Linked DNA regions of Macaca fascicularis. The protein of the gene in region 1 purifies or fractionates together with the protein of each later gene. This does not show direct contact. Links are inferred from orthologs where the notes say so. Each region holds a gene or a part of one and is shown in the gene's direction. Other genes may lie near its edges. The genes, in order: GNL2, SRPK2 and USP36.

Evidence for each region.
Region 2: the proteins of GNL2 (region 1) and SRPK2 purify together in Homo sapiens (affinity purification with mass spectrometry; 3 studies listed by BioGRID and IntAct, with this or other methods). This does not show direct contact. The link is inferred for Macaca fascicularis from reciprocal best matches to the Homo sapiens genes GNL2 and SRPK2.
Region 3: the proteins of GNL2 (region 1) and USP36 purify together in Homo sapiens (affinity purification with mass spectrometry; 3 studies listed by BioGRID and IntAct, with this or other methods). This does not show direct contact. The link is inferred for Macaca fascicularis from reciprocal best matches to the Homo sapiens genes GNL2 and USP36.

The regions. Positions count from the first base shown.
Region 1 is NC_088375.1:197,333,563-197,344,192, forward strand, and holds part of GNL2 (nucleolar GTP-binding protein 2), read left to right. Parts: intron 1-223; coding exon 224-318; intron 319-2,203; coding exon 2,204-2,343; intron 2,344-5,238; coding exon 5,239-5,423; intron 5,424-9,308; coding exon 9,309-9,375; intron 9,376-10,326; coding exon 10,327-10,485; intron 10,486-10,630. UniProt on the Homo sapiens protein: GTPase that associates with pre-60S ribosomal subunits in the nucleolus and is required for their nuclear export and maturation.
Region 2 is NC_088377.1:146,910,898-146,921,627, reverse strand, and holds the start of SRPK2 (SRSF protein kinase 2), read left to right. Parts: upstream 1-4,026; 5' UTR 4,027-4,047; coding exon 4,048-4,174; intron 4,175-4,499; exon of another isoform or gene 4,500-4,616; coding exon of another isoform or gene 4,617-4,632; intron 4,633-4,721; coding exon 4,722-4,776; intron 4,777-10,730. UniProt on the Homo sapiens protein: Serine/arginine-rich protein-specific kinase which specifically phosphorylates its substrates at serine residues located in regions rich in arginine/serine dipeptides, known as RS domains and is involved in the phosphorylation of SR splicing factors and the regulation of splicing.
Region 3 is NC_088390.1:85,203,554-85,214,183, reverse strand, and holds part of USP36 (ubiquitin carboxyl-terminal hydrolase 36), read left to right. Parts: intron 1-1,065; coding exon 1,066-1,743; intron 1,744-2,384; exon of another isoform or gene 2,385-2,418; coding exon 2,419-2,549; intron 2,550-4,695; coding exon 4,696-5,289; intron 5,290-6,150; coding exon 6,151-6,365; intron 6,366-8,429; coding exon 8,430-8,531; intron 8,532-9,174; coding exon 9,175-9,290; intron 9,291-9,655; coding exon 9,656-9,787; 3' UTR 9,788-9,807; intron 9,808-10,285; exon of another isoform or gene 10,286-10,308; 3' UTR 10,309-10,630. UniProt on the Homo sapiens protein: Deubiquitinase essential for the regulation of nucleolar structure and function. Required for cell and organism viability.

The DNA.
Region 1 (10,630 bases):
TCATCTAGCAGAAATCATTACGTGCTCTGTTGCAAGAGGTTAAATGGCTTTTGGGCAATCTGTTTCAAATGTAGAAGTACTTTGTGTTTACTGGAATTGGTATTTCATGATCATTTAAAACCAAAGTAAGAAGTCCTTTTGATGGAAAATATATTCTGTAAATCAAACTTTGCTGTTGCCATTCTTCTGTTGTCAACCAATATCTGTTCTTTCCTCAATTTAGGAACAGTCGTGGTAAAATAATTAAACCCCTGCAATATCAGTCAACGGTGGCTTCTGGCACAGTAGCAAGAGTAGAGCCAAATATTAAATGGTTTGGTGAGTATTATCCCCTGCTACTTTGCTCTACAAAATGTATGCTGAATGGAAACGGCTAGGATGTTTAAATATCTAAACGATAGGAGTTTTTGGTGAGTGGAACTGTCAAGGATTATCTGAGAAAGGGATAAGAAAAAGTACTGGGAAAAGTAGTGGTGGTAGATTTAATAAATAACTTCTTTTTGAAGAGCGCTCACCATTAGTAATTGTAATTGAACCCTCTTAAGCAGATAAGACCGTCCTTAATGACTAGCATTCACAGACCTTAGAATGCTCATCTTGATCTTTTATGCTTGCCTGGAGAGATACTGTTTGAGAGGTGGCCTTGTAGGTGTTTGTGCATATATCCTTCAGGGTAAGTGCATTAGCCCAGAGTTCCTCTGAAACACTTCTTAATGGAGTTTTTATTTGAACTTGGGTGACAATTAAAGGGTCTCACTGTTGAACCTTCCAACAGTGAATAGAGTATCTTCAGTCACAGGGTGATCACGGCTTCTTCCTTGGGAAACTCCCTGTTCCATTTCAGTCTGGGCTTTTAACTTTGCCCTTAGCCACTGGTAATGTATGGGCACTTTAGATGATCAGACCCCAGTGTTTGCTTGGTGTTTGACCTCTGTCCTTGGGGGCAGATGGCAGCTACCTTTGAGTCTCTTATACTTTTGGTAGGATACTTCCTAGGAGCTGCAACACAGAAAGGTGTCAAAGAAAACTCTGCAGAGAAGCATTTAGCATGGCTGCCGGGTACTGTGACTCCAGATTAGACTGCCTGGGTTTGAATTCTAGTTCTGTCATTTATGTGCAAGTTATTAAGTCTGTCTGTTCATCAGTTTTCTCATCCCTAACAGAGAATAAGATGAAACCTATCTCACAGGACTGTCGTGGTAATCAAATGAGTAAATACAAGCAAGGCACAGTGGCTCATGCCTGTAATCCCAGCATTTTGGGAGGCCAAGGCTGGTGATTCACTTGAGGTCAGGAGTTCGAGACCAGCCTGGCCAACACGGTGAAACCCCCATCTCTACTGAATATACAAAAATTAGCCAGGCATTGTGGTGGGCACCTGTAATCCCAGCTACTTGGGAGGCTGAGGCAGGAGAATCCCTTGAGCCTGGGAGGCAGAGGTTGCAGTGAGCTGAGATTGTGCCGCTGCACTCCAGCCTGGGTGACAGAGTAAGACTCTGTCTCAAAAAAAAAAAAAGTAAATACATATAAAGTGCTTAGAATAGTACCTAGCAAATAGTGAGTATAATATAAGCATTCCTTGCTACCATCATTACCACCTTGCTGTTTTGCATTCATGCTGCAGCATGCTGTTTAATTGAATGCTTTTCAGGATCTCCCTCACAAGGTGTTTTCCAGGTGGAACAAGCAGGGCTCTGTCTTGTTCCCTTGCATGGATTCATTGGTTAATGAATCATTAACCAATTGATTAACCAATTGAGGTCCCTTTGGATCCTCATAACCCTAAAAGTGGTAACTATGACTCAGGTTTCAGTGTTTCAAGATTCTCTGTCTATACTGACTGATCAGCTGTGATTGGCTCCAAGTTTCTCTGCCAGATCTAGCAGGAAGTAGGACATTTGTCAGATCTCAGTTCCATTCCACGCTATTTATTTCTCAGTTTCATTTAGTCAGGAAACGGCTTGGAAAACTATTGAAACCTTTTGTGGGTCTGGGTTGGTGGAATAGTTCATAGTGTGCAAGTGCAGGAGAGGCAGTTTTTTGGGTTTTTTTCCTCTTTTAAGTTTGGAAATAGCTCCAAGGGATGGATGGATCAGGTACTTGGGTGAGTGAGGGTAATTTAAAATCTTGCCTTTCACCGTGTCAGTGGAAGATGAATGTGCAAATATGTATTAAGTGGCAACATTCTTTATTTGTAAAACAGGAAACACACGTGTGATTAAGCAGTCATCATTACAAAAATTTCAAGAGGAAATGGATACAGTTATGAAGGATCCATACAAAGTTGTCATGAAGCAAAGCAAGTTACCAATGTCTCTTCTCCATGATCGAATCCGGCCTCATGTAAGATGTAGGATATCCCTGGCGATGGAATTTCCTGGGCAGACTCCTTGCAGCTCCCTCTCTAACATATTTGTCTTTTGTTTTTCTTAGAAAATAGCAATTTCAGTGTAGCAATGATGAACTTCCTAAGACCTCTGTTTTCATCTTTTCACGTTTAGTATGAAGTATGGTAGTGTAGTGGATCAAAGCACAGGTTTTGGAGTTGAGACCTGAATTTTAATCCTTGCTCTATCCATTCCTGTACCCTTAGTTGGGTTTCTCTATGAACTTGAACTTCTTTGCTTTGAAAGTATAAATAGGCTGGGCGCAGTGGCTCACACCTGTAAATTGGGAGGCCCAGGCGGGCAGATCACTTGAGGTGAGGAGTTTGAGACCAGCCTGACCAATAAGAGGAAACCCCATCTCTACTAAAAATACAAAATTAGCCAGGCATGGTGGTGCATGCCTGTAATCTCAGCTACTCGGGAGGCTGAGGCAGGAGAATTGCTTGAACCTGGGAGGCGGAGATTGCAGTGAACCAAGATCGTGCCATTGCACTCCAGCCTGGGCAACAGGAGCGAAACTGTCTAAAAAGAAAAAGAAAGTATAGATAACCCACCTCCTTGGGTTATTGGCTACAGATGAAACGTCTGTAAAGCACTTGGTCCGTAGTAAGCACATAGCACACCACCTAATAAGAGCTAAATTGATAACAGATATTAGTAATATTATTTATTATTATTTATTTTGGTAGGCAAACTTGTTTTAAGTGGTAATTCCATCAAACATTGGGACAGCGTAGAATTAGGATTGAGTTGGTAGAACTTTGGTGTTGGGTACGTTCAGCTTTTGTAAGATCCTTGAGATTTCTTCTCAGCTGAAGGAAGGGGTGCTGGTCTCATTGGCTGTCAGTTGCTGAAGTTTGAAGTACGGTAAGGATTCAATCTGGGTTGAATGGAATGAGTTTCACACAGAACAAAGAAAGAGTCTGATGTTTGTCTGCTCATTTTTACTTGCATTGAATAATAATTCCCAGAAATGTAACCATTACGTAAGCTTCAGTTCCGATATGAGGAGGGGAGAAAAACATTGACATGCGTACGTGGGTTAAATAGTTCAAAGAAAAGTGTTTACTTGCAGAACAAAATAAAAACTAAGGCCTGGTTATTGCCTCAGGTTTTGTCAGTTATGTTTTGTTTTATGATGGACTAGAAGAATGGCACCTATTAGTGGAATGACTGTTTTCTTTCAGGGGAACACATGAGTGTAATTCATGAACCACAGACAAGTTGCTCATTTCCCTTGTTCTCTTTGTCTGTTCTCCCTAAAGCCATCTTTTAAGCAACTATTGAATCTTGTTTATGAGAAGAACAGAGAGGCTCTATCATGGATTTATTGCTTTGTTGCCTGTTCTTGTCAGCGCTTCTAAAATTTAGTGTTTAAGTATCTGGTATGTAGAATGAAGGGTCTACAGTTGCACCAGTCAGCTTCTTTGTTGATGCAGAAAGCTACTCAGAGTAATTGATGCGTTTTCTGCTTTGGTCTTGAAAAACCTTACCTATTTTATTTTAGTATGATATCTATTACTTATAAAATCTAATTCTGAGATTATTTTGCACAGTGGAGTTAGATCAGATATGCATATTCATCTATATGTGTTTTAGAACTACTGTATTTCTGTAGCAATACAGTAAGAGTACTGTAACTTTGCATATGTACTTTATTATATACTGTATATTACTGTATTATACTTATTAATGTGTAGATTTATAGGCAAAGCCTTGTGTCCTGTAACTTATAGGTTAAGAGATTTTGAAGATAATTTTGGTCACACTTGATTTTACCCAGTGACATTAGAACCTGTTTCTCATGTAAAATGAGCTGCTTCTGTTTGGGGATGCTCCCGAGTGGAACATAGTGACTAAAACTAAACTGAGTTGTGGGTTAGAGCATCTGAGAAAATGAAAATAGTTTAAGGATCTTTAGAAGTTGGAAGAGGGGATCCGTTAAAGTTCAGAAGCCATGGGGGCTGCTCTATCATCCTCACAGCTTTTGGTAGTGGTGCTTACAGAGGAGCTTGTGCTAGGGGGAAAAGGGTGATTTTCTTCTTTTTTCTTTTTTGATATTGTCTGCCGGCTGTTAACATTCTGTTATGTGATAGATCCTAACTCAAACTTTGACTTTTATCTTGCTTCAGAAATTCTTATGCCTGTTACTCCTATACAGGCACATCAAGTTCTAGTTAGTATCAGGTTCCTTTTATCACATCTAAACTATTATTTTGGACTTTGGCTAGATGTTTTTCATCTGAAGACTTGCCATGTGCATTTAATAAAAACGTTACCTAAATTAGGGAAAATGTTATCTGAAACTAAAATGCATCTTACAAAACAAACAATTCCTTTTAGCCATGAAAGAAATTAACTTCCAAGAAAAAGTTGGCATTTACAGTTGGTTTAAAAAAACCTCACAAATTTGAGTATGATTGTCCTTGATAAAATCTATGAATTTGGCGAATTTTATGCACTTGTTTGAAAGCTAAAAAAAATGGTGGAAAAGATTAGTTAATTTTCATCGCTGTAGCCTTAATTACATTTGACTAAAGTTTATGATAAATGAAATAAAGCAGAGTTTTTGGGAAGTTTTTGCACAACTATTCATATTTACTTTATTTGTATTACTTTTGTATCTCTCCAAGGAAGCTTACAGAACTTCGGAATAAGGGTACCAGTGTTTGTGCCATTTCAACAAGTATTTCTGATTTGAAACCAGACTGAAACCATGTTTTTATAGATTTGGGTATGGGTTGAACCTTGGAAAAATAAAATCAGAAAGTCTTTCCTAGGTGGGTGTTTAGCTTTTCGCTTTTCCTCAGTGCTTTTCTTAATTTTACCTGTTATTCTTGTTTCTCTTCAGAAATCGAAGGTCCACATTCTTGAAACTGAAAGTTTTGAAACTACATTTGGCCCTAAGTCACAGAGGAAGCGACCAAACTTATTTGCAAGTGATATGCAGTCTCTTATCGAAAATGCTGAGATGTCCACTGAGAGCTATGACCAGGGCAAGGATCGTGATTTGGTAACTGAAGACACTGGTGTGAGGTAGTTTCTTTGTTTGTTTGTTTGTTCGTTTGTTTGCTTTTTGAGACAGAGTCTCGCTCTATTGCCCAGGCTGGGGTGCAGTGGCACAATCTCGGCTCACTGCAAGCTCCACCTCCCTGGTTCATGCCATTCCCCTGCCTCAGCCTCCCGAGTAGCTGGGACTGCAGGTGCCCACCACCACGCCTGGCCAATTTTTTGTATTTTTAGTAGAGACAGGGTTTCACCGTGTTAGCCAGGATGGTCTCGATCTTCTGACCTTGTGATCCGCCCACCTCAGCCCCCAAAGTGCTGGGATTATAGCATGAGCCACTGCGCCTGGCCTTTTTTTTTTTTTTGTGGATAGAGTCTCGCTCTGTTGCCCAGGCTGGAATGCAGTGGCACGATCTCGGCCCGCTGCAACCTCTGCCTCCCAGGTTCAAGCAATTCTCCTGCCTCAGCCTGCCTCCATGCCCGGCTAATTTTTTGTATTTTAGTAGAGACAAGGTTTCACCGTGTTGCCCAGGCTGGTCTTGAACTCGTGAGCTCAGTCAGTCCACCCACCTCGGCCTCCTAAAGTGCTAGGATTACAGGTGTGAGCCACCGCGCCTGGCCGAGGTACAGTTTTGAAGTTCATGCAAGTCTCATCATTTGCTCTTCTGCCACAAAACATTTTCTTTCAAGTTATTTTGCCTGTGTGAAGCTCAGTGCTTTAATTTATATATGGAGCTGTCTTCTTCCCTCAGGCTAGAGACATTGGTGAAATTGGGGCTAGACTGAAGATGTCTAATGCGGCTTGATAAAGGTCTCTCTTCATTCCCAAAATAAATAAGATTTTCTTCATTTATAATCGTAATACACCAGTCATAGACAAATTAGGAAATATAGTTAAGTTGGAAAATGCAACACAAAGAACATAACTCATAACCCCATTGCAGATATTAAGCATTGTTAATGCCTCCGTGAATATGCGGGGCTTCCTTAACTGGAAGACTCTGAGTTCATAGATGGCCTTTAAGGTTTCTTTGACTCTTTGAAGAAAATGTGGAAAATTTGTGAGCATACCTAAAGGCGGTGGAGTTTTGTCTTTTTGTTTGTTTGTTTTGGGGAGGAGAAGAGGAAGTGTCTATAACTTTCATCATATTCTTGTAGGGATCCATACTCAAGAATCAGTCACTAGCTGGCTGCAGTGGCTTACCTGTAATACTAGTTTTCTGGGAGGCCAAGGCAGGAAGATCACTTGAGCACAGGAGTTTGAGACCAGCCTAGGCAACATAGCGAGACCTTGTCTCTACAAAAAATAAAAACTTGGCTGGGCATAGTGATGTACCTGTAGTCCCAGCTACCCAGAAGGCTGAGGTGGGAGGATCACTGGAGCCCAGGAGTTTGAGGCTGCAGTAAGCTGTGATTATTAGGAATACGTTTCTATGTCAGTACATAATCAACAATAATATAATATTTATTGTCAGAGTGGTATTTTGTTTGTTATGGCCAGTATCGTTGTTGGACATTTATACTGTGTATAGTTTTTCCTTATGGTGAACAACACAAGGGTGAAGCATCAATGTGACCACATCTCTTTCATCCTTAATTATTCCCCAAAGATAAATTCTTACGGAGCAAATCGTGGTATCAAAAGGTATGCATGTTTTTTGATAGGCAGCTGCCACATTGCTCTTGAGAAAGGTTTAATTTCATTTCCCTTGGGTAGTGCTAGAAAGCTCTCATTCTCCATCTATCTCATGTCTCTTAAATGAAGTGAAGGTTTTGCTGTCTTAGTGAAGAGGCATTGTCCTTTGACTGCATCAGTGTTATTACCTCATTGCTATTGTCAGCCCATCTTCAAGCATTGGGCCAACTAGAGATATAATGTCAAGCCATTTGAGGCCAAGCAAAAAGAGGCAGTGAGTTCATCTATTTATTCTTAGAATTATTTGAACTTTCGTTGGCTTTGTATTCTGCTGATTTGAATTTTTCCTCCCGCAAAAGGTATAGTAGGTAATGGAGTAAAGATAAAACTATTTTTGTTTACCTTGGATAAATGTCCTTGAGACTAGTAAATGAACAGATTCTAAACCTTATCAGAAAAATACTGCTTTATATGGGAGCTATGGAGTATAGGTTGTGATTCAGCTCCTGCCAATTCCATTTTAAAATTCTTTTAATTCTTCTTTTTCTTTTTTTTTTTTTTTTTTGAGACAGAGTCTCGCTCTGTGCCCAGGCTGGAGTGCAGTGGTGCGATCTCGGCTCACTGCAAGGTCTGCCTCCCAGGTTCACACCATTCTCCTGCCTCGGCCTCCCAAATAGCTGGGACTACAGGTACCCACCACCGTGCCCGCTAATTTTTGTATTTTTAGCAGAGACAGGTTTCACCATGTTAGCCTGGATGGTCTCGATCTCCTGACCTCGTGATCTGACCGCCTCGGCTTCCCAAAGTGCTGGGATTACAGGCGTCAGCCACCACACTCGGCCTGCCATTTTATAATTCTCTGTGATGTACTGCTTAATTCAGTCATGCTTTTTTTTTTTTAGTTTAATGTTTTATTGTGGTAAAATATATGTAACAAAAAATGTGGCCGGGCGCAGTGGCTCACACCTGCAATGCTAGCACTTTGGAGGCTGAGGCGGGCGGATCACCTGAGGTCAGGAGTTCGAGATCAGCCTGACCAACATGGTGAAACCTAGTCCCTACTAAAAATGCAAAAATTAGCTGTACCCGGGGCGAACACCTGTAGTACCAGCTACTCGGGAGGCTGACGCTGGAGAATTGCTTGAACCCGGGAGGCGGAGGTTGCAGTGAGCCAAGATCGCACCACTGCATTCCAGCTTGTGCGACAGAGCAAGACTCCGTCTCAAAAAAAAAAAAAAAAAGTACTCTTCTAACCTTTTTTTTTTTTTTTTTTTTGAGACGGAGTCTCGCTCTGTCACCCAGGCTGGAGTGCAGTGGCGCAATCTCGGCTCACTGCAAGCTCCGCCTCCCGGATTCACGCCATTCTCCTGCCTCAGCCTCCCGAGTAGCTGGGACTACAGGCGCCCGCCCCTGCGCCCGGCTAATTTTTTCTATTTTTAGTAGAGACGGGGTTTCACCATGGTCTCGATCTCCTGACCTTGTGATCCGCCCACCTCGGCCTCCCAAAGTGCTGGGATTACAGGCGTGAGCCACCACGCCCGGCCTCCATTTCCCCTCTGCCCCCAGCCCCTGGTAACAACATTCTACTTTCTGTCTGTTGTGAATTTCACTGGTTTAGGTGCCTAATATAAGTGGAATCATACAGTATTTGTCCTTTTGTGTCTGGCTTATTTCACTTAGTATAATGTCTTCAAGATTCATTCATGTCATTGCATGTGTCAGAATTTTCTTCTTCTTTTTTTTTTTAATTAATTAATTAATTTTTTGAGACAGGGTCTTGCTGTGTCACCCAGGCTGGAGCAGTAGCCTGCTCACGGCTCACTGCAGCCTCAACCTCCTGGGCTCAAGGAGTTCTCCCACCCCAGTCTCCCCAGTAGCTGGGACTACAAGCATGCAACACTATGCCCAGCTAATTTGTGTATTTTTTGTGGAGATGGGGTTTTGCCATGTTGCCCAGGCTGGTCTCGAACTCCTGGGCTCAAGCAGTCTGCCCTGCTTGGCCTCCCAAGGTACTGGAATTACAGGTGTGCACCACTGAATCAGCTAGAATTTCCTCCTTTTTAAAGTTGAATGCTATTTTGTTGTATATATGTGCCACATTGTGTTTATTCATTTATTTGTTGACAGACATTTGGGCACACTTTTAAAATTCAGTTTGTTTCTGGTCCATCTCCAACTGGGTTTGATACTGTTTCTTTTGGTACATTGACTTTACCCTAAAGCATTCTTTTAGTCTTAATGGTGCTTCAGTTGCTCATTTGGGGTGCTTTCTTATTTAGAAATGAAGCTCAAGAAGAGATCTATAAAAAGGGACAGTCCAAAAGAATATGGGGTGAGCTCTACAAGGTACGACTCCTAAATTCCCTCCCATTGAGTGGTTCCTTTGGCTTTCGTGATTTTGTAGAAGAAAACTGATTTTGATGTATTGAACCTCTGTTGCCCAGAGTACAGGTACCACTGCCTGTTCCATCCTCTTCCTTCTACAAAGAAACTTGAAAGACATACTAGCATTGATCTAGAGAACTGCATTGTTTAAAGTACTTGTATAAGAGTAACAGCTATCTTTTATTATACACTCATATAGTTATTACCTGTCAGTATTTTTTAAGATTTCCACCAAAGTGATATTCCTGTTTAGATTTATCATGCCTACTTAAAGTCACATGCAACATTTTAAGTTATTTAGTCCACCCCACTCCTTTTATAGATGAGGACTCTTGTCTAGAAAGGTTTAATGCTGTACCTAGCTCAACTAGCTTGTTAGTGAAGGAGGCTTTGTGTATCTTGATTTCTGATCCAGTGCTCTTTAACTGGCAGAGGTTTATGTCCATGCACTAATAATAACAACCTTCAGAAGAAAAATTTTCAAGCATAATCATGTAATTAAATAGTAACATAATAGAAAACGAGTACCGTGAAGGCAAGCTAAACTTTTCAGTTTTTTGTGAAATACACAAAACCTATAATATTACAAACTTAAAGATTATATTACAAACTTAAAGAAGTCTAAGAAGTAATCCATAGTAGTTCAGTAATCCATAGTAGTTAGGAAATAAGTTGAGTTTCATCTAAGCTAGTTTTCCTGTTTTAAATTCAACAGGTTTCAAAAACCACAGGATGAAAAACCTTTTGAATTCTGATCGCTGGGCCTTGAGATTAACTACAACCAACTCTGCCCAGAGACCGTTTTGAAGTTGTCTCTAAATGTTATTATTTTATTTTCCCCAGACTCCCTTAAATGTCATCCCTCTTTTATTTGTACTGTAGCAAACCATTTTTGCCTCTCTGAATTTTCAGGTGATAGATTCATCAGATGTTGTAGTTCAAGTTCTTGATGCTAGAGATCCAATGGGCACTCGTTCCCCTCACATTGAAACTTACCTGAAGAAGGAAAAACCTTGGAAACACCTCATTTTTGTACTTAACAAATGTGACCTTGTTCCAACTTGGGCAACAGTAAGTACAACTACTCAACCAGAATAGACTATTAAGACATCTGTCAATAAGTCAGTTGTGGGTTTTTAGGCTAAAGTGTTGCACTGCTGAGATTGTAGTAATGGGAGTGCTCTCGTTGGAAATACAAAAGTGTGCTCATTGATGG
Region 2 (10,730 bases), on another chromosome or scaffold:
CTGGAAGGCAGAGGTTGCATTGAGCCAAGATCGTGCCACTGCACTCCAGCCTGGGCGACAGAGCGAGACTTCCTTTCCCCCCGCTGCCAAAAAAAAAAAAAAAAAAAAATTGGCCAGGTGTGCTGGTGTGTGCCTGTAGTCCCAGCTACTTGAGAGGCTGAGGCAGGAGAATTGTTTGAACCTGGGAGGGAGAGGTTGCAGTGAGCGGAGATGACACCACTGCACTCCAGCCTGGGTGATGGACCAAGACCCTGTTTCAAAAAAAAAAAGAAAAAAGAATGTCACTTAAGGGTGGGTGTAGTGGTTCACACCTGTAATCCCAGCACTTAGGGAGGCAGAGGCGGGTGGATCACTTGAGGCCAAGAGTTTGAGACTAGCCTGGCCAACACGGTGAAAACCCGTGTCTACTAAAAATACAAATGGCGTGCGCCTGTAGTCCCAGCTACTTGGGAGGCTGAGGTGGGAAAATCACTCGAACCTGGGAGGTGGAGGTTACAGTGAGCTGAGATCACACCACTGCACGCCAGCCTGGGCAACAGAGCAAGACCCCCATCTCAAAAAAAAAAAAAAAAAGAATGTGTCACTTAACATAGATTGAATGATAGGATTATAAAATCACTGTTCTACAACCAGTGTGGTAATAGTTGATTTAGGCAAGAATCATCAATGGATGCCAACCCATTGAGATATTGTCAGGAAAGAGATATTCACACAGTTTCAAAGTATCACCCCACACAAGTAACTTTGTTGTTTTGTTTTGAAGTGAAATTCACCTTAGATGAAAGAAACCACTTTAGAGAGAACAATTCAGTGGCTTTTAGTACATTAGCAATGTTGTGCCACCACCACCTCTATCTAGCACCAAAACATTTTCATCACACCAAAATAAAACTTGGTACCCATTAAGCAGTTGCTCCCTCCTTCTCCCACCCCCCAACTCCTGGCAACCACCAATCTGCTTTCTGTAGATTTGCCTATTCTGGGTATCTCATATAAATGGAATCATACAATATGTGACATTTTGTGTCTGGCTGCTTTTATTTAGCATAATGTTTTTGATGTTCATCCACATTGTAGCATGTGTCAGTACTAAATAATTTTAAGGCCAAAAAATATTTCAGTGCATGTATATACCAAAATTTGTTTATCCATTCATTTATGGATGACCATTTAGGTTGTTTCCACCTTTTGGCTGTTGTGATAGTGCTGCTATGAACACTCATGTACAAAGATTTGTTTGAGTATCTGTTTTCAGTCTTTGTGCATATATACCTAGGAGTGGAATTGCTGTTAATTCTATAATTAGTTTTCTGAGAAGCCAACAGACTGTTTCCATAATAACTGCACCATTTTACATTCCCACCAGAAATGCAGGAGGGTTTCAATGTTTCCAACATATGAGGGTTCCAAAATCCCCACTAACATTTTTTTTTCCATTAACATTATTTTTTGAGATGGGGTCTCACTCTATTGCCCAGGCTGGAGTGCAGTGGTGTGATCATAGTTCACTGCAGCCGCCAACTCCTGGACTCAGATGATCCTCCAGCCTCAGCCTCCCAAAATGCTGAGATTACACTTGTGAGACATCACAGCTGGCCTTATTTTCCACTAAAAAATTTTTTAGCTAGGCCCAGTGGCTCACACCTGTAATCCCAGCACTTTGGAAGGCTGAGGAAGGTGGATCACCTGAAGTCGGGAGTTCGATGCCAGCCTGACCAACATGGAGAAACCCCATCTCTACTAGAAACACAAAATTAGCCAGGCACAGTAGCACATGCCTGTAATCCCAGCTACTGGGAAGGCTGAGGCAGGAGAATCGCTTGAACCTGGGAGGCAGAGGTTGTGGTGAGCCAAGATCGTGCCATTGCACTCTAGCCTGGGCAACAAGAGCAAAACTCTGTCTCAAAATAAATAAATAAATAAATAAATAAATTAATTAATTAATTTTATAGTCATCCTAGTAGGTATGATGTAGTAACTCATTATGGTTTTGCTTTGTATTTTCCTAACAACTAATGATGTTGATTCTCTTTTCACATGCTAGTTTGGTCATTTGTATGTCTTTTTTTTTTTTTTTTTTTTGAGACGGAGTCTCGCTCTGTCGCCCAGGCTGGAGTGCAGTGGCCGGATCTTGGCTCCCTGCAAGCTCCGCCTCCCGGGTTTACGCCATTCTCCTGCCTCAGCCTCCCGAGTAGCTGGGACTACAGGCGCCCGCCACCTCGCCCGGCTAGTTTTTTGTATTTTTTAGTAGACGCAGGGTTTCACTGTGTTAGCCAGGATGGTCTAGATCTCCTGACCTCGTGATCTGCCCATCTCGGCCTCCCAAAGTGCTGGGATTACAGGCTTGAGCCACCACGCCTGGCCCATTTGTATGTGTTTGGAGAAATGTCCATTCAAATCCTTTGCTCATTTTTTACACAGACTTCTTAAATACAGAGGGAAAAGTTACCTGTATGTTGGAGAAATAATTATCTGTAACATCACCAGTAATGGAACAAACTGACATCATATTTTGAAGCACTAAGATGAATACAACATCACCTATAGTATACCCAACAAAATTATTTAATTTGAATCTAATCACAGGGAAACAGACAAATCCAAAACAAGGAACATTCTGCAAAATTGTGGAATCGGATTCCTCAAAAAAGTCAATGTTATAAACAAGAAAACAAAACAACACAAAAAAAGGGCTGGGTGTCAAGGCTCAGGCCTATAATCCTAGCACTTTGGGAGGCTGAGGTGGGTGAATGACCTGAGGTCAGGAGTTTGAGACCAGCCTGGCCAATAGGGTGAAACCCTGTCTCTACTAAAAAAAGAAAATACAAAAATTAACTAGATGTGGTGCTGTATGCCTGTAATCCCAGCTACTCGGGAGGCTGAGGCAGGAGAATTGCTTAGACCTGGGAGGCTGAGGTTGCAGTGAGCTGAGATTGCGCCACTGCACTCCAGCCTGGATGATGGAGTGAGACTCCATTTCTAAATAAATAAATCAATAAATAAAAAGAAAACCAAAACCAAGAATGATTCTAAAGGTGTTTAAAAAGACATGACAATTAAACGCCACAGATGATCCTTAATGGTAGACTAATTGGGAAAAAAAGAAAAGGGATATTACTTAGATATTTTGCAAAATTGAATATATATGGCCTGTATGTTACAGATGATTACATTGTATTAGCATGAAAGTTTCTTGGAGTGATCATGGAATTCTGATTACATGGGAGATTATCTTTGTTCCTAGTAGATATTTACCGAAATATTTACGGATAAAGGGTAACAGTGTCTACAAAAACTCAAATGATTCAGCAAAATAAACCATACACACAGACACATAGCAAATGTGGCAGAATGTTAAAAATTGGTGAATATGGGTTAATTTGGCTGTGAATTATATTTTTCTTGTAACTTTTCTATAAAGGTTTGATATTTTTGAATACAAAAAGTTAAAGGCTCTTCAAAATCCAAGCAGCTTTTCCTGCACTGTCTGTTTTACCATCCTTAGAGTAAGCCACCTTGTCAGTTGAAGATACAGTTGTGTGACCAAGGAGGGAGTTAATGGTCAGGATGCTTATCTTTCAAAAACTATTGTAATTATTTACATAAATAAGGGAACATTATAGTTATCTTTTTGTGCCACTATCAACTTGGTTCACATCTTTTATAGGCAGCCTGATAAGGTGGAGTTTGTCGACAGCCAGCCATGCCTGAATTTCGATCCTGGCTGGTTAAACTGTTTAACCTCGTTGGGACTCAGTTTGCTCATTGCAGGATGCAGAAAATAACTACTTGGTGTGATTGTTGTTTTGAATTGTTATACACATGGTGTTTAGGGAACCGGGTTTCAATTCATGTGCAAAACCATTGTCGTACTTTGAATGCTATCTGTATCTTTTCCTTCATTAAACTCATGCAATCCTGGAGGGCACGTAGAGGTGGGAGAGAAAATGACTTCTCCAAGGTCACACCGCTAATCGCGGACCCAGGTTTCCCAGCTTTTGGTCGTGTGCCCTTTCCACGCCCGCCGGAGAGGAGGAAGCGGCGCTCATGGGGATGCAAGGATGTAGAGGAGCAAAGGGAGAGAAGAGGCCGCGGGAAGAGAGGTGGTGCGAGACCCGCGGAGGCGCCGGCCAAGGAAGGGCGCATGGAGCGCCGGGCTGCGCGACCGGCCGGGGTGCGGAGGGGAGAGGCCGCGGCGGGGAGGGAGGGTCCCGCGGGTCCGGTGCCCAGGAGAGGCGGGCGGCCTGGGCCAGCCGCAGGAGCGCAGGAGGCGGAGGCCCGGGCCGCGGGCTGGGGTGGGGGAGGCCGAGGGCCAGCGCGGCCTTGGGCGGCGACCACCTCTGCACAGGTGGGTGGGGCGGGGGCGCGGGGCGCGCGACTCCGGGGTCCCGACCCCCGGGGCCGGCGGGTGGGGGCGGGGCGGGGGCGGGGCCGGCCAGGGGCGGGTCTTGCTGGGTCCCTGCTGGAGCGGCGGCGGTGGCGGCGCAGGCGCGGTTCCCGCCTCCTCCCGGCCGGCGGAGCGAGTGGAGGCTGCAGCCCGGCTCGTCTCGGCGCCCGCGTCGCCGCCGCCGCCGCAGCCGCCGCGAAGCCCCCCGCCCCGCTTCCGCCGCGTCGGAATGAGCTCCCGGAAAGGTGAGTGGCCTGCGGCGCGCCCTCTCCCCGCCACGCGGCCGGCCCTGGCGGGCGGCCCGACCGTTAATGTGTGTCTTCTCTTCCCCCAGTGCTGGCCATTCAGGCCCGAAAGCGGAGGCCGAAAAGAGAGAAACATCCGAAAAAGTGAGTCCACGCTGCGCCTGTCCCGGTTCCCCACCCCTGCCCCGTCGGGGGCGCCCGCGGCCGCGCAGGGGAAAGTTGTCCAGGTCCTCCGGCCGGGGGGCGGGCTGGTCTCCCGGGACGCCGGCGCTCGGCTCCTGCGCCCCGCGGGCGGCCCGGGGGGAGGGGCGGCGGCGGGGGAGGGGCGCGCGGGCCGCGGCCGGTTCCCGAGCATCACGGAGCCTCGACTCGGCGCCCTCCCGCCCCGGGTCGCCACTGGCCGGCGGGCGGGCGGGAGGCCGGCGGGGAGGCGCCGGGCGGGGCGTGCGCACCGGTCCCCTGCGCGCGAGCTGACCCGGGGGTCGCGGCCCTTTCTGGGAGGGGCTCCGGCCCGCCCGGTGCGGGAGTGCGGCGGCTGCGCTGCTCCCACCTGAGCCGGGGCGGAGGAGTCGGAGGGGCTGAGTGTGCGCGAGGGCGTGTGTCTCGCCTCCCCTTCCTCCCCGGCCCCCGCCTGTCGGCCTTTCTGCTGAGAACCGGAGCTGGTTGTCAAGTGGTTCGCCTCGGGCGTGTTCCTGGCGCGAGTTCAGCCCCGAGACCTGTGCGTTTCGGCTCTCTGGTTTGGATTCGAAACTTTCCGCTCGGGTCGAGCGTGACTTGGGTGCGCTGCGGGCGCCGGGGTCGCGGGCTGCGCGGGGCGGTGGGCGTGTGCGCCGGAGCCGGGCGGAGTGGAAAACGCGCCCGCGCTGGCCACCTCCAGTCTGGCCGCTCACCCGAGCCGGGGGGCCGCTGCCCGAGAACCCTTTCCTGGAGAGCTGCTCCGAGACCGCACAGCGCCGCCGCGTCTTCTCCTTTTCCACTCCTCTCTCCTTATTCTTTTGATTTACCAGCGTTCAACATCGTTATCTCTTCCTCTAGATTAATTGCTTCGCTCTTTTGAGCAATAATACTCCGTGTGACATCTTTGGTACTATGGGGAACGAGAGTCCAGCATCATCTTTAATAAAATCCAGAAACATTTTTGGTTGTTTCCTTTTTTCCCCTTCTCGTTGGCCTTGGTCCTTCAGAGTTTCACAAAATGTGGATAGTGACTTAAAAATAACTTTCTAAAAAAAAAAAAAATTAGAGTAAAGGGAAACACTTCTTAAAGACTTGAAGAACTAATTGGTGGGTAAAAATTTGATATTGAATTCATAAGATGTTAAAATGGACTGGATTTTTGGTAGCTTTAGATGCGTTTAAAAAAATTAGTGCTAGCTTTCAAGTGAATTACAACCTTAAATTTGAGATTTCCTTTGGTGAACCATGGAAGTTTACCCAGTGGTACGGGGAACTGTAATGTTTAGGATTCTGAATAAGTACTGGGTTTTAATCACAGCTCTGAATTCAAAGCATTGATTTAATTCCACATAGTCTGTTATATTCAGAAACATAAAAAGAAGTGGAAAAAGTGTGACCCCAGTGTCGGAGATGGCTATGTGTGCATGTGTATACAAACAGACACGTATGTGTGCATGTTACCTATATGTACAGGTAGAAAAACAGTTCTAATTAAGTCAGTATGTGTCTTGTATTTGCATATGTTAGGGTGTGATTTTCCTAATGGTCGAGGGCCTTTTTGGTGGGCCGCAGTTTGGATTTATGTGGTATGTTTATGAAGACTTAGTGAATAGCCACAGTACTCAGTTTATACTCTCACAGATTAATCTGCGAGTTTCTCCCACGGTGTGTTGTGTATGTGTGATAGAATTTGAGGGGGAAAATAACACACCAGCTAATAATGAAACGAACTGACTCTAGTCTGAAGGTAATGGGACCAGCCCAATTATGTAACTGATTGAGGCAATGCCATTTTTCACTTAACTCTTTGAATCAATACATTATTTTATTTAATTTTTTTTTGAGACAGAGTTTCGCTGTTGTCGCTCAGGCTGGAGTGCAATGGCCGGATCTTGGCTCACTGCAACCTCCGCCTCCCGGGTTCAAGGGATTCTCCTGCCTTAGCCTCCCGAGTAGCTGGGATTACAGGCACCCGCCACCCAGCCTAGCTAATTTTTTTTGTATTTTTTGTAGAGACGGGGTTTCACCATGTTGGCCAGGCTGGTCTGCAACTCTTGACCTCAGGTGATCCCCTCCCACAGAGCTGGGATTACAGGCGTGAGCCACTGCTCCTGGCCTGAATCAAGACATTATTTAAAAGAAATGTTTGATGTTATATATTTATTCATCTATTAAATAGGTATTTACATGTCTTTCTTTGGAGATGGTGATAGAGGTTTTTTTTGTGTTTTTTTTTTTTTTTGAGACCGAGTCTCGCTCTGTCGCCCAGGCTGGAGTGTAGTGGCAGCATCTCGGCTCACTGCAACATCCGCCTTCTGGGTTCAAGCCCATTCTCCTGCCTCAGCCTCCCGAGTAGCTGGGACTACAGGCGCCTGCCACCACGTCTGGCTAATGTTTGTATTTTTAGTAGAGATGGGGTTTTACCGTGTTAGCCAGGATGGTCTCGATCTCCTGACCGCGTGATCCACCTGCCTTGGCCTCCCAAAGTGGTGGGATTACAGGCGTGAGCCACTGCGCCAGGCAGGTGATAGAGTTTTGAACAAGACGAAGCTCCTTGCAAAGCTAACCCTGGGAAGTTTAGGGAAAACCACAAAGAGGGTGACAGAAGATAATTTCAGGTAGGGCTAAGGGATGGGAAGAAAAGAGGGGGCATCTTAAGTAATAATGATAGATGACATTTGAACACTGTGCCAGTCACTCTGTCGATTGCTTTACATGTACCTTGTGACAACCCTAAGAGGTAGGCACCATTATTACTGACATTTTACAGATGAGGAAACAGGGACACAGCAAGAGTAAATAACATGCCCATCTGTTGAATCAAGGCAGCCCAGGACCAGAGTCCACACTCCACTCTCTGAGAAGTGACATTTGAGCAGGATCAAGAATGAGGAGGAGATCCAGTGTGGCAGAGGCCCTGGGGAGGAGTGGGCTGGAAGTATTCGAGGAACCCAAAAGTCAGGGTGGCAGGAGTGGCCCGGAAAGGTTGATGGGAGGCCGGAGTCAGAGCGTATCTGGTCCCGTAGGCCATTGGAGGCTTACATGTGGAAGGGACAGGTTCTGATTCACTGTTTAAAAAGAGGGCTGCTGTCCGGGCGCTGTGGCTCATGCCTGTAATCCCATAACTTTGGGAAGCCGAGGCAGGCAGATCACGAGGTCAGAAGATCGAGGCCATCCTGGCTAACACCCCATTTCTACTAAAAATACAAAAACAAAAATAGCCCGGCGTGGTGGCAGGTGCCTGTAGTCCCAGCTACTCGGGAGGCTGAGGTGAGAGAATGCCGTGAACCTGGAAGGCAGAGCTTGGAGTGAGCCGAGATTGCACCACTGCACTCCAGCTTGGGCAACAGAGGGGGAGACTCCATCTCCAAAAACAAAACAAAACAAAAGGCTGCTATATGGAGAATAGATTGTGGGGAAGGGGGTAGTAGTGGAAACAGACCTGGCCTGCAGTAGTGCGTGGGAAACCAGGTGATGTGGTTGAGTGTGCAAGGAGTGGCACCTGAGAAGTGGTAAAAGAATCTCCCGGAGACTAGTATTTTCAGGGTACCTTGCATTTTACGGATAGCTCTGACACGTTAAGCCCACAACAGTAGCTTCGTTTGGATCAGAATTCAGGTTTCCTGAAGCACTGTTTTTGCTTTTTGATTAATTTTCCAGAGGAGGAAAAGGAGTAATAGGTAAATTTTAAACTATTAATATGATGATTGGCAAACTTGAATTATGTGACTGTGGGTCTGGCGTGATGTAATATGATTTACTTTTGTCATTATCTACCTTTGTATATGCAAGCTGGCTTTTAATTTAATTTTAGTTCAGTTCAAATCTGTGAGCTTTTATGAATTGAGCCAGTTCCTAGAGGCTACTTTTATGGTACACTGGAAATTGTTGTTGTCAGGAATAAGATTAAGATTTTTTAGTGGGTCAAAATTATAATCCTGTTAGATTGTCCTGTGAGTTTGGTTTGCTAATTATTAATTGTGCTGCTTTGTGAGTAACACGCAGCACAGAAAGACTGTAGTGCTGTTTAATCACAAATCTTAGGAATTAGCTACATCACATAGCTTGGGATAAATTTTTGCCTTAGGGTATGTTTATATGTAGGTACAATTTTTAAAAGATCTCTCCCATTTTTTTATAACTCTTTTATTGTGATATAGTTCACATACCATAAAATTTACCTTTTAAAGTAGGCCATTTACAGATTTTTAGTCTACTGATTAAATTGCGCAGCCGTTATCTAATTCTATAACATTTTCACTTCCCCAGAAAGAAACTCCATATTTATTTCCCAGTTATTCTCCATTCCCCTTCCCCCTGAGTTGGCAACAACTAATTTACGTTCTAAGTCTCTGTGAATCTGCTGATTCTGAACATTTCATGTAGATGGAATATACAGTATGTGGCTTTGTGTCTGGTTTCCTTAGAACAATGTTTTCAAGGTTCATCCATGTTACGGCACGTATTGGTACTTAGATCCTTTATATTGCTCAATAGTAGTGTTGATATGCCACATTTTATCCATTCATCTATTGTTCCTTAGAATTTTTCTATTTCTGGCCGGGCGTGGTGGCTCACGCCTGTAATCCCAGCACTTTGGGAGGCCAAGGTGAGCAGATCATGAGGTCAGGAGTTCGAGACTAGCCTGGCCAATATGGTGAAACCCTGTCTCTACTAAAAATACAAAAATTAGCTGGGAGTGGTGGCGTGCTTCTGCAGTTCCAGCTACTCGGGAGGCTGAGGCAGAAGAATCGCTTGAACCTGGGAGATGGAGGTTGCAGTGAGCTGAGATCGTGCCACTGCACTATAGCCTGGGTGACAGAGCAAGACTCCGTCTCAAAAAAAAAAAAAATTCTGTTTTCTTCTTGTAAAATTTTTATTAAAACATTTAATTTTGAAGTAATTTCAGACTCAAAAGACCTTGCAAAAGTGGTACAGAGTTCTTTGTGTACTCTTTATTCAACTTCCCCCACGTTGATATCTTAACCATAGAACATTGTTGAAACCAATAAATTGACATTGACACAATGTTATTAATTCAAGAATGATTTTACTTGAATTTTACCAGTTTTACATGCACTCTTTGTGTGTGTACTTCTAACAAATTGTATCATTTGTGTAGATTAGAATAATCACCACAGTCAGGATGCCAAACTATTTCATTACGACAAAGAACAGTCACATTCTCTCTCTTCAAATCTAAGCCTGGCAAATACTGATCTGTTCTCTATCACTTAAAGTTGCCACTTCGAGAATGTTATATAAATGGAATTATGCAGTATGTCACCTTTTGTGATTTGCCTTTTTTCACTCAGCGTAATGCCCTTGAGATTCATCCATGTTGTTGCCTGTGTCAGTAGTGCATTCCTTTTTTTTTTTTTTTTGAGATGGAGTTTTGCTCTTGTTGCCCAGCCTGGAGTGCAATGGCACAATCTTGGTTCACTGAAACTTCTGCCTGCCGGGTTTAAGTGATTCTCCTGCCTCAGCCTCCTGAGTAGCTGGGATTACAGGCATGTGCCACCATGCCTGGCTGATTTTGTATTTTTAGTAGAGATGGGGTTTTTCCATGTTGGCCAGGCTGGTCTCGAACTCCTGACCTCAGGTGATCCGCCGACCGCGGCCTCCCATAGTGCTGGGATTACAAGCATGAGCCACCGCTCCCGGCTGTGCTTTCCTTTTTATTGGTAACAAGTGTTCCATTGTGTGAATTAACAGTTTTATTCACAGGCTGAATGATATCTGGGTATACTTTGCTTCTAGTTTTTTCTGAGATGGAATCTTGCTGTGTCACCCAGGCTGGAGTGCAGTGGCGTGATCACGTCTCACTGCAACCGCCACCTCCCAGGTTCAAGCGATTCTCCTGGCTCAGCCTCCCAAGTAGCTGGGACTACAGGCATGTGCCACCACACCTGGCTAATTTT
Region 3 (10,630 bases), on another chromosome or scaffold:
TAAAGGATACACACACATATACTGTACTGTATTGTTAATTTCAACAATTGGAGACAATATAGCTTATATAAATTAACCGTATAGTTAATATGTGTCAGTAGTATATAGTATATATATAGTAAAATGTCAAAGACGGCCGACAGGCAGGTTGCAGTTGCTCAGGCCTATAATCCCAGCACTTTGAGAGGCCAGGGTGGGAGGATTGCTTGAGCTCAGGAGTTCAAGGCCAGCCGGGGCAACATAGCAAGACCCCCCCCCTGCATCTCTACAAAATAATAAAAAGTATTCAGGTATGGTGACCTACTCCTATAGTCCTAGCTGCTTGTGCCTCTGAAGTGGGAAGATCTCTTGAGCCCAGAAGGTTGAGTCTGCAGTGAACTATGATGACATCATTGCACCACTGCACTCCAGCCTGGGCAACAGAGCAAGACCCTGTCTTAAAGACATTTATTGAGAGTTATCGCCCATAAAGATGCTTGAGGTAATAGCATTAAGATAAAACTGGGACACAACTCTTCAGGGCAGAACCATTCGAAAGAAAAGACTTAAAGAAGAAAGCACTAGAATGTTAATGCATGATATGTTTAGGTGACGGGACTTTGCTAAATTTTTTTCCTTTATACTTTTTTCTCTTTCTCAAATCTTGATGAAAATGTACTGGTTTTGTAGTAAAGATGGCCATAAAGATATGTATTCAGGCCAGGTGCTGTGGCTCACACCTGTAATCCTAGTACTTCTGGAGGCTGAGGAAGGTGGATTGTTTGAAGTTAGGAGTTTGAGACCATCCTGGCCAACATGGTGAAACCCTGTCTCTGCCAAAAATACAAAAATTAGCGGTGTGTGGTGGTGCACGCCTGTGGTCCCAGTTCCTTGGGATGTCACAAAACATCAGAATTGTTCAAAGAAGCCACAATGTCTTTACCAAGAGTCCACATAAATAATTTGTCTTGAGCATGCTAATCAGAGGCCATGCCCACTACTAAGATGCGTTGTGGCCTTATGAAGGCGTGGCCCGACTGGGACTTGTCGCTTCCTCAGTTGTGTTTTCTGCTTTGCTCTCCTTAGCGACAGGATTCGGGGACAATGAAGAAGCTGCACAGCACTGAAGAGGTTGGCGTGCCCATTTCCAGGAATGGCTCCACCCTGGGCCTGAAATCCCAGAACGGCTATGTTCCTCCAAAGCTGCCCTCAGGATCCCCGTCCCCCAAACTCCCCCAGACACCCACACACATCCCGACTATCCTGGATGACCCTGGAAAGAAGGTGAAGAAGCCAGCTCCTCCACAGCACTTCTCCCCCAGAACTGCTCAGGGGCTGCCTGGGACCAGCAGCTCGAGTAGCAGCAGATCTGGGAGCCAAAGGCAGGGCTCCTGGGACAGCAGGGATGCTGTCCTCTCTACCTCACCTAAGCTCCTGGCTACAGCCACTGCCAACGGGCATGGGTTGAAGAGGAATGACGAGAGCACTGGCCTCGACAGGAGGGGCTCCAGCAGCTCCAGCCCAGAGCACTCGGCCAGCAGCGACTCCACCAAGGCCCGCCAGACCGCCAGGAGTGGAGCGGCCCATCTCTGCGATTCTCAGGAAACAAACTGTTCCACCGCTGGCCACTCCAAAACGCCGCCAAGTGGAGCAGATTCTAAGACGGTGAAGCTGAAGTCCCCTGTCCTGAGCAATGCCACCGCTGAGCCTGCAAGCACCATGTCTCCTCCACCAGCCAAAAAACTGGCCCTTTCTGCCAAGAAGGTGGGTGTGTGGGGGTCTCGCCACTGCTGTGTATCAGGAGAGCTCCAAGAGTTGCTTGGTTGGGGTTTGGAGGGAGTGAGAACATTGTCCAGGGACTTTGGCCTCCCTCATGTCAGAGGAACAAAGTGTCTTTTAGTCATTCCCAACTATTTGCAATTAAAGAACGGCTATCCTGGGGTGAAGGCAATGTGGGGTGTTGAGAGAGCCCTGATGATCTGGTGATACTCATGTGACTCATGGAGGTTTGGGCAAGGTAGCAGTTCCGTTTTCGCAGTAGGCGGAAGATCCTGACTGAACCCGAGGGAGGGTGAGCCCCACCAGCGCACTTCCCTAGCAGGGGTGGGACGGGCAGGAAGCGCAGAGCCGAGTGGGGTGCCCAGCACGGCTGCAGCAGGAAGCTTAGAAGGCAGCCACGGCACGAGGATGTGATTGTTGTGCTGAGATTTTTGTTTAAAATTTCTTCCTTTTTTTTGTTTCTAACCAAAAATACTTTTCTGGTTCTTCTTCTACCATTCCCCTGCCCCTCACCTCCCCTTTTTGTCTTCTTCTGTCCCCTCATCTTTCTTTCTGGGCTCTTTTGTTTTTATTTTCATTTTTTGTTACTTTTGTTTTCCCTCTTCACTCACGGAAACCTTTTTTAGACCACCAAGTTTTTATTTATGTCGATAACTGCAGGCCAGCACCCTGTGGAGGGCGACCGGCAATGACCTCCGTCCACCTCCCCCCTCACCATCCTCCGACCTCACCCACCCCATGAAAACCTCTCACCCCGTCGTTGCCTCCACTTGGCCCGTCCGTAGAGCCAGGTAAGCTTCGGGCCGGGACCTTCGGGGTGCCGACTGGTTCTCCCTGTGGTTGCGTGTGCTTGGCTGGTGAGGAGTTGGACGGATCACCAGCCTCACAGGACTGACAAAGCATTGGGCAGCCAGGAGGTACGGGGGGACGTCACCGACCAAGGTCCCCCTCTTCTGTGTTCCCCTGTGGTAAAGGAGCTTTGGGTGGTGAAGGCAGTTCAGCCTCTGCAGTCCCGATGTCTTAGTTCTGTCTTTGTTGGTGGTCTGTCTGCGACATCCATGTGATGACATGGTGTGCTGGAGACTGACCTGTCCTGTATCCCTACCAGCCCCATGACAGTACTTCCCAGTCGAAGAGAAAGGTGAGGTAAGGCCTTGGCGAGAGGCCTTGAGTGAGCTCGGAGTCCTGTGCATTTTTTCTGGGGTGTCTTGCTTGCTAGCATCATGTGGGTTAAGAACTGTCTCAGGGCTCTCGGGTTCCTCTGCACACACCTGCTGGAGATGCAGTCCCTTTCCTCTGCATATGGGCCTTGGTCCGCAGGGGCTGCCTGCGTCTGTTGGGTGCCTCGAGTGGCAGGAAGTTGAGAGTCACTGGTCAATGGCTGTCTGGAAGCCGGTGGGAGTGGGGAAGGAAGCAGTGAAAGATGGGGTGAGCCATGAGGCGGCCTGTGGGGACTGTACTGGGGACCTTGGCGCTGGGTTCTAGTTCTAGAATCTCCAGTGCTGCATGAGGGTGAGGTATGACTGTACGTCACCCACAGCCTCTGCCTTACTCTCCTCTCACATACACACGCACAAAGACACTTCTACCCTATACCTAGCATAAGATTTGTGTGCGTGGGAGGGCCTTGAGTGTTTGGGTGTTTTTTGTTCCTTGCCTTATAAGCTTTTTTTGAAAAGATTCCAGAAGACAGGGTAATCAAACGTCGTGCAGCTGTCATGGCCCTTGTAGTTTGTTTAGATGATGATGGGGGTCCCGTTTTCCTCAGGAACCTTGGGAGGTGGGCTTTGTGGTCGTAGCTCATTGACAAAGGAGAACATGGTGGTTCAGAGTGGGAAGTTAATTTTCCTAGGGACACATAGCTGGCAAGAGGGAGCTCAGAGAGCCTCACTGGGTTTGGCGCTAGATCCTGTCCCGGACATGCCTTGCTTATGATTCTGCTCTACACATCTGTGTCCCGGTTTCAGCGTCCTAATGATGCTAATGTGGAGGTGTCATTAGGGCCAACTCAACACTTGCCTGCCTTATGAGGCTCATTTCCTGCTTGGGAACACCCTGAGACTTTCAGAGGTTGGAGAATAAATCTTCACGGGATCTTTTTTTCTTCCTTACCATTTATTGTTTAGTGAAGGCTTCCTCCCTTAACACATTTCTATTAAAGATTTAAAATATTAGCGCTCGCAAAAATATCTGAACTGCTTGGTGACAAGAAACTAAGGCATGGAACTATTCTTATTAACTTTGCCTTATTAAAAGAAAAAAAATGACTTTTAAAATCATGTGTTGGCTTGCCTTTTTTTTTTTTTTTTTTTTTTTAAATCTTAGGGATCAATTATTTTAAGTTCCGGGGTACGTGTGCAGGATGTAAAGGTTTGTTGCAGAGGTGCCATGGTGGTTTGCTGCACCTATTAACCTACCATGTAGGTAACTTTGCTTTTTTTTTTTTTTTTTTTTGAGACGAAATCTTGCTCTGTCGCCCAGGCTGGAGTGCAATTGCGCGATCTCGGCTCACTGCAACCTCTGCCTCCCAGGTTCAGGCGATTCTCCTGCCTCAGCCTCCCAAGTAGCTGAGATTACAGGCGTGTGCCACCATGCCTGGCTAATTTTTGTATTTTTAGTAGAGATGGGATTTTACCTTGTTGGCCAGGCTGGTCTCAAACTCCTGACCTCAGGTGATGCGGCCACCTCGGCTTCCCAAAGTGCTGGAATTACAGGCATGAGCCACTGCGCCCGGCCAACTTTGCATTTAAATAGATGTCGAATTAATTGTTAGCTTTCTTTCAAACTTACGTGTAACTTAATGTGTATCTGAAAACTGCAGGGCAAAAGCCTTTTCAGATTTTTAGGTGAAAGGGAGGGGAGTGAGGGTGAACAGAAGAAACAGCTCTGCTGGGTCTTTCAGAACATCCTCTCCCTGTTTCCTGGCTGTCCCCACAGGGCTGTGTCACCTGCTCCCCAATCATCCAGCCGCCTGCAGCCCCCCTTCAGCCCCCACCCCACATTGCTGTCCAGTACCCCCAAGCCCCCAGGGATGTCAGAACCACAGAGCTGCTCCTCCTTCTCGACGGCCCTGCCTCAGGTCAACGAGGACCTTGTGTCCCTTCCACACCAGCTGCCAGAGGCCAGCGAGCCCCCCCGGAGCCCCTCTGAGAAGAAGAAAAAGACCTTCCTGGGAGAGCTCCAGAGGCTAGGCTCAGAGACGTGCCTCCCACAGCACATCAGGGAGGCCACTGCAGCTCCCCACGGGAAGAGGAAGAGGAAGAAGAAAAAGCACCCAGAGGACACAGCTGCCACCGCCCTGCAGGAGGGGCAGACACAGACACAGCCTGGGAGCCCCACGCACAAGAGGGAGGGCCAGGCCCAGCTGCCCGCTGTCAGACGGCAGGAAGACGGCACACAGCCACGGGTGAACGGGCAGCCGGTGGGATGTGTTACGGACGGCCACCACGCGAGCAGCAGGAAGCGGAGGAGGAAGGGAGCAGAGGGTCTTGGTGAAGAAGGTGGCCTGCACCAGGACCCACCTTGGCACAGGTAAGGGCAGGAGCAAGGTGGCATCTGTGTACCTCTGCCAAGAAACAAAGCAAAACCACAGAATCTACCTCTAACCCCACGTAGGTATGATCTGGAAATGTAGTCTGCTTTTGTGGTTTTCTAAAATGTGAATATGTGAGCAAATGTCTCCTCTGGCCCGTTGTGGTGGCTGACACCTGTAATCCTAGCACTTTGGGAGGCTGAGGCAGGCGGATCACTTGAACCCAAGAGTTTGAGACCAGCCTGGGCAACACGGCAAAGCCCTTTCTCTACCAAAAACAAAAATTGGTTGGGCATGGTGGCACATGCCTGTGGTCCCAGCTACTCAGGAGGCTAAGATGGGAGGATGGTTTGAGCCCAGGAGGCGGAGGTTTCAGTGAGCTGAGATTGCGTCACTGCCCTACAGCCTGGGTGACAGCTAGACCCTGTCTTTAAGAAAAAAAAAAAAAAAAAAAAACACAAAAGACTCCTCTGATAAATACCAGTGGATTGGTCCTTGAAGTGACAGTGGTATGGACAGCAGTGTCCATCATTGTATGTGCAAAGCCGTCCAAGGATGCTGGATCAGGTGACCCAGGCCAGGCCAGACTCTGCAGTTTCATCAGGTCACAGTAGCCTGCACATTAGCCTCGACGGGCTTGGCTCAGTTAGGATGAGAAACATGACTGGTTTTCCCTCCATTGTCTCCATGGCTGCATGTGGAGCGTCCGCTAATGCGTGTTGGGGGAAGAATGTTGCAGGGAGCTCCGTGCACTGGGTCACAGCTGGGGTGGCACCTTCTCCATGTTGCAGGCGGGAGTCTGTGAGCTCCTGCTCCCCTTCCAGCTTGCTCAGAGCTGACTGCTGCCTCTCACTTCCCAGCAGCTGCTCTCCCATGGGTGATGGTGATCCAGAGACCATGGAAGAGTCTCCAAGGAAAAAGAAAAAGAAAAAAAGAAAGCAGGAGCCACAGTGGGTGGTAGAAGAGGATGGGCATCTCGAAGTCCTGAGGAACGCCAAGCCCCGAGATGCTGCTGTCCCCGAGTCCAGCAGCCACACGCCATCTGTGAATGGCTGGTGTCCTGGAGACCACATGGGTATGCACTGGGCGAGGGGTTGGGGACCGCATGGGTATGCACCAGGGGAGGGGGTGCAGGACCACATGGGTATGCATTGGGCGAGGGGGGTATTAGGGAGTGCACAAGCTGAGAGCAGTGCCTCCTGCATCTGAGCTTGGGAGGGTCTGGGAGAAGATGTGGAGGTCCCCGGGACCCTGCCAACCTTCACTCCCCGCCCACGAGTCTGTTCCCTTGGGTGATGGGGTTGAAGCTTCCTCCTGTGTCAAAAGCATTTGACTGAAAAACCCCATGGGAGAGGTTACAGCGCACATGAGGTTTAAAACATTCTGTGAACGCCAGTGGATCTTCTGATTGAAAGCTCTTCCTGTCTACAGCTTCTCATTGAATGACTCCCTGAGTTTTTTCCTGTCTACAGCTTCTCATTGAAAAAACTCCCAGCCTGAGTTTTTTTCTGTGATGGTTGAACTTAGAAGAGTTGGGTTCAATCCTCCTCTCCCTCTATGTAGCTGGGCCTTTCAGAACATAGCATGGTGCGCTTGCTGTTGGGGACCTGTGTGCTGTGGCTGTCCTTGGGGCTGTCCAATTGGAGGGTCTTTTGTTTTCTTTAGGGCTGGCTGGGGCATGCCTTGGCAGGCACCTGCCACAGAACACATTTGTTAAGTGAAGGGAAGAAAGTCTTGGCTGCTTGGTATAGCGGGCTGAGTTTGAGTGAGGCCTCCGCTGCAGTCTGGAAGGTCTGATGGCAGTGCATCCAGGGGCCAGCAAGACCTTAGAGACTGATTTGTATTTATCCAACTCTTAAGAAAGGAATTTATCGATAAAAATGAAATAGTATGAAATAAATTGCAAAATGCGGGTGCTAGCAAGTGCCAACCGTGTTTGCTGGCCAGCATGCTCTCAGAAGTACTGCACTAACATGGTGCCAGAGCCGTGCTCCGTGCCATCCTTGGAGCAAAGCGGAGTTGGCTTGTTAATGCAGGAATTCAAGGGACATCACTTGAGCACTTGTAGTGCGCCAGGGTCCATGCCAGGTGCTAGTTGTGTGTCCTGAGCAGTGCGCCCTGCACTGCGCACTGGGGGCTGCATGGGCTCTGAGGGGGAACACCTGGCCCCATACACTCTCAGTCCTGTGCACCTGAGGAGAATGGCTAAATGAGCAGGGTACCAGGCCCAAGGGCAGGAGGCGCAGCATGTTGGGAGCAGGCAGGCTACTCTGCATGGCCACGTCCCTGGGCTGTGGATGAGATGGGAACTATGGAAGCCACTGTGCAGGGGCAGGGGACACTTAGCCTGGAGCTCACTGAGGAATTGGAGGCAGGGAGAAATGAGGTTAGATTTGTGTGAAGGGAGGTGAGTATATTCCAGGGGCTATGTGGGTAGCTGGCCAGAGGACTAGTTCAGAAAGGGTTTCTAGAACCCGATGAGGGTGGTGAGTGCTCTCCTGGTCCCGACATGCTGGGTGGACCTGTGCAGTGTTGCTGACAGGGACCAGGTTACCCCTGGACAGGGCTTAAGAGGTCGGGGTCCCTGATGGCAGCAGCCAAGCTTGGCCATTCCCCCCACCCCTGTGGTCGTCCAGGTGTCAGGCTGGTTCTGGGCCACGGGCCTCTCCCTTAGGTGAAGTGGGTTCCATTTAGATCTAGTTTTCGTCCCTCCCTCTGTCAGACTGAGGACTTACCCTGCTGGTTAAAGGGGTTTTAAGGGTTTTTTTTTGCTTTTTAGCTTTTTGTTATTTTCCATGTTTTCTTTTTCATGAATTGACTTGGACAACCTTCTCTACTGTGTGAGATCATTAGTAAATTAAGCATGTAAGCATTAGTAAATAAACATTTAGGCTGGGCGCCATGGCTCATGCCTGTAATCCCAGCATTTTGGGATTACAGTTTGGGAGCACTTTGGGAGGCCAGTAGGAGTCCCCAGGAGTTTGAGACCAGCCTGGGCAACATAGTGAGACCCTGTCTTTAAAAAAAAAAAAAAATGGCATCTACTTACTGTAAGTTCTGCTATAATTTAAGGTGTGTGGTTGCTTCCCCAGTGGGTTATTTTAAACGTTTGTAAATGTTTCTTGGCTCCTCCTTGCAGGGCTGGGCCAGGCCCCTCCTGTGTCTTGGAATGGAGAGCGAGAGTCTGATGTGGTCCAGGAACTGCTCAAATACTCATCTGATAAAGCTTATGGGAGAAAAGGTACTGGTTTGGAGACAGGACTTCTGTTTGCCTTTGATTGGTTGGTTTTGGAGGAGGGAAGGGTGTGGAATGGATCCTGGTGTACTGTGAGTGTGGAGGGCAGGCATCGCTCGGCTTTGAGAATGGGAAGAGGAATCTCAACACTGGCTGGAATCCTCTTTAAACCCTCGGCCGTGGCACGAAGGTGGCTTCTGTCCATGGCAGGATCCAGAACAGCTGCTTCTGAGGGTTGGGGCAGGGTGAGGAACCCAGCACATGCTGGGTCTTGGGTAGGGAAGGGGCAGAGTGACCAAGCTCTTCCAACCTAGGTAATGTCACTTCTTACTCAGAGCATGTTTTTATTCAGACTTCGAGGCCGAATAGGACATCTTTGTTTCTCAGACGAGGGCGTGGTTTTAGAGAGAACTGAAGTCTGTGGCCGTGGTTTAGCGTTTAGCTAAGAGGGTGGTGTTGGGGGTTCTGTGCTGACCGACCACACACGGACGTCGAGCCGTCCTCCTCTTGTCCTTCTGTTCACCACAAGGTGGCACTCAAAATTGTTGACTAATTATGGGTAGACTAGTTGGTAAATGACACTCTTGAAGTGAAGCCTCAGGGTACCTGGGAACCTGCACTCGTGCTGAGCCCTGTGTCTGCCTGGTAGTTCTGACCTGGGATGGCAAGATGTCGGCGGTCAGTCAGGATTCTATTGAAGACAGCAGACTGGCCCAGACTGAGACCGTGGTTGATGACTGGGATGAAGAGTTTGACCGAGGGAAGGTATGATGTGTGATGCTGACCACAGGCTTGAGGTAGCAGGGCGGTGTGGCTCAGCTTAGGGCCGGGGCAGTTGGAGGTGGCGGCAGTGGCATGAAGTGGCCGAGCGCGAGAAGAGTCAGGCTGCCCAGGCCTGTCTGGGCATGTGGCCATGGACAGGGAATGCATCCTTGCAGCTTCCGCCCCTTCATCAGTAGGGGGACAGCAGGGTGCTGTGCGCAGGGGTCACTGTGAAGAGTGGGTCTCCAGAGAGCTCGCGAGAGCCTGGCCTGTGTGCAGGAAGCTGGTGACCTGCATGCAGTAGGGAGCCCCGTGGGCCAGGAAAGAGCCCTTTTTGGGAACTGTGATGCCTGTGATTCTTGGTCTAGGAAAAGAAAATTAAAAAATTTAAGAGAGAGAAGAGGAGAAACTTCAACGCCTTTCAGAAACTTCAGACTCGACGGAACTTCTGGTCTGTGACTCACCCAGCGAAGGCTGCCAGCCTCAGCTATCGCCGTTGACTGTGCCTCTGTGGAAGGAGGTTGGTTCCGAGGGCGTGGGTGTGCGGGTGAGGTGGGGGTGTGTGTGCTGTGTTTGTGTACAGGGGGTGTGGTGGGGTGTGGCATGCATATGTGTGATGCATGTAGGCTATGTATCTGGCACATGTGTGTTGGGTGGTGTGTGTCTGGTGTGGACGCGTCTGTGGTGTGTGTCCTAGTCACTTGAATGGAGAAGGGTGTGTGTGGGATGCGTGTGTATAAGGGGGTGCGTGTAGTGTGTATTGGGTGTGGGGTGTGTACACCTGGCATCTGTGGTGTGTGTCCTGGTCACTTGGAGAAGGGCATATGTGGGGTGTGTGTAGGATGTGGGCAGTGTATATATCTGGCACGTGTCCTAGTCACTTGCAGAAGTGTGTGGGGTTTGCCAGCCGCATCGAGATGCCATGCATTGGGTTCCTGGGTTGGACTCATACCCAAGGATGGCAGTGGGAAGATTGTGGTCCCGTTTCTCTCTGTCAGGACTGCTGTGCTTTGTTCCGCAGCCTCCTGGAGACAAGGCATCCCTTCCTGGGAGCTGTCCGTCTGGACCTGAGGGAGCTCTCTGTGTGGGCTCTGCTGCGCTGTGAGCCTGCAACGGTAGGAGCCCTCCCGGTACCAGTGTCCACAGACCACCCGACGGAGAGGCTTTGAGGCTTCTCTATATCGGAACCTCTTTGGTGACATTCCTGACCAGCCCTGCGAGAGAAACGACAGTGTGTGTGTGAGCAGAGGTGGCTGCACGCCTGCTGGACATCTTCGCTGGGCTGTGCCTTCTTGTGTTCATAGACGGTGGTCTGTGCTGGCAGAGGCTGCTCCCCCCCAGTT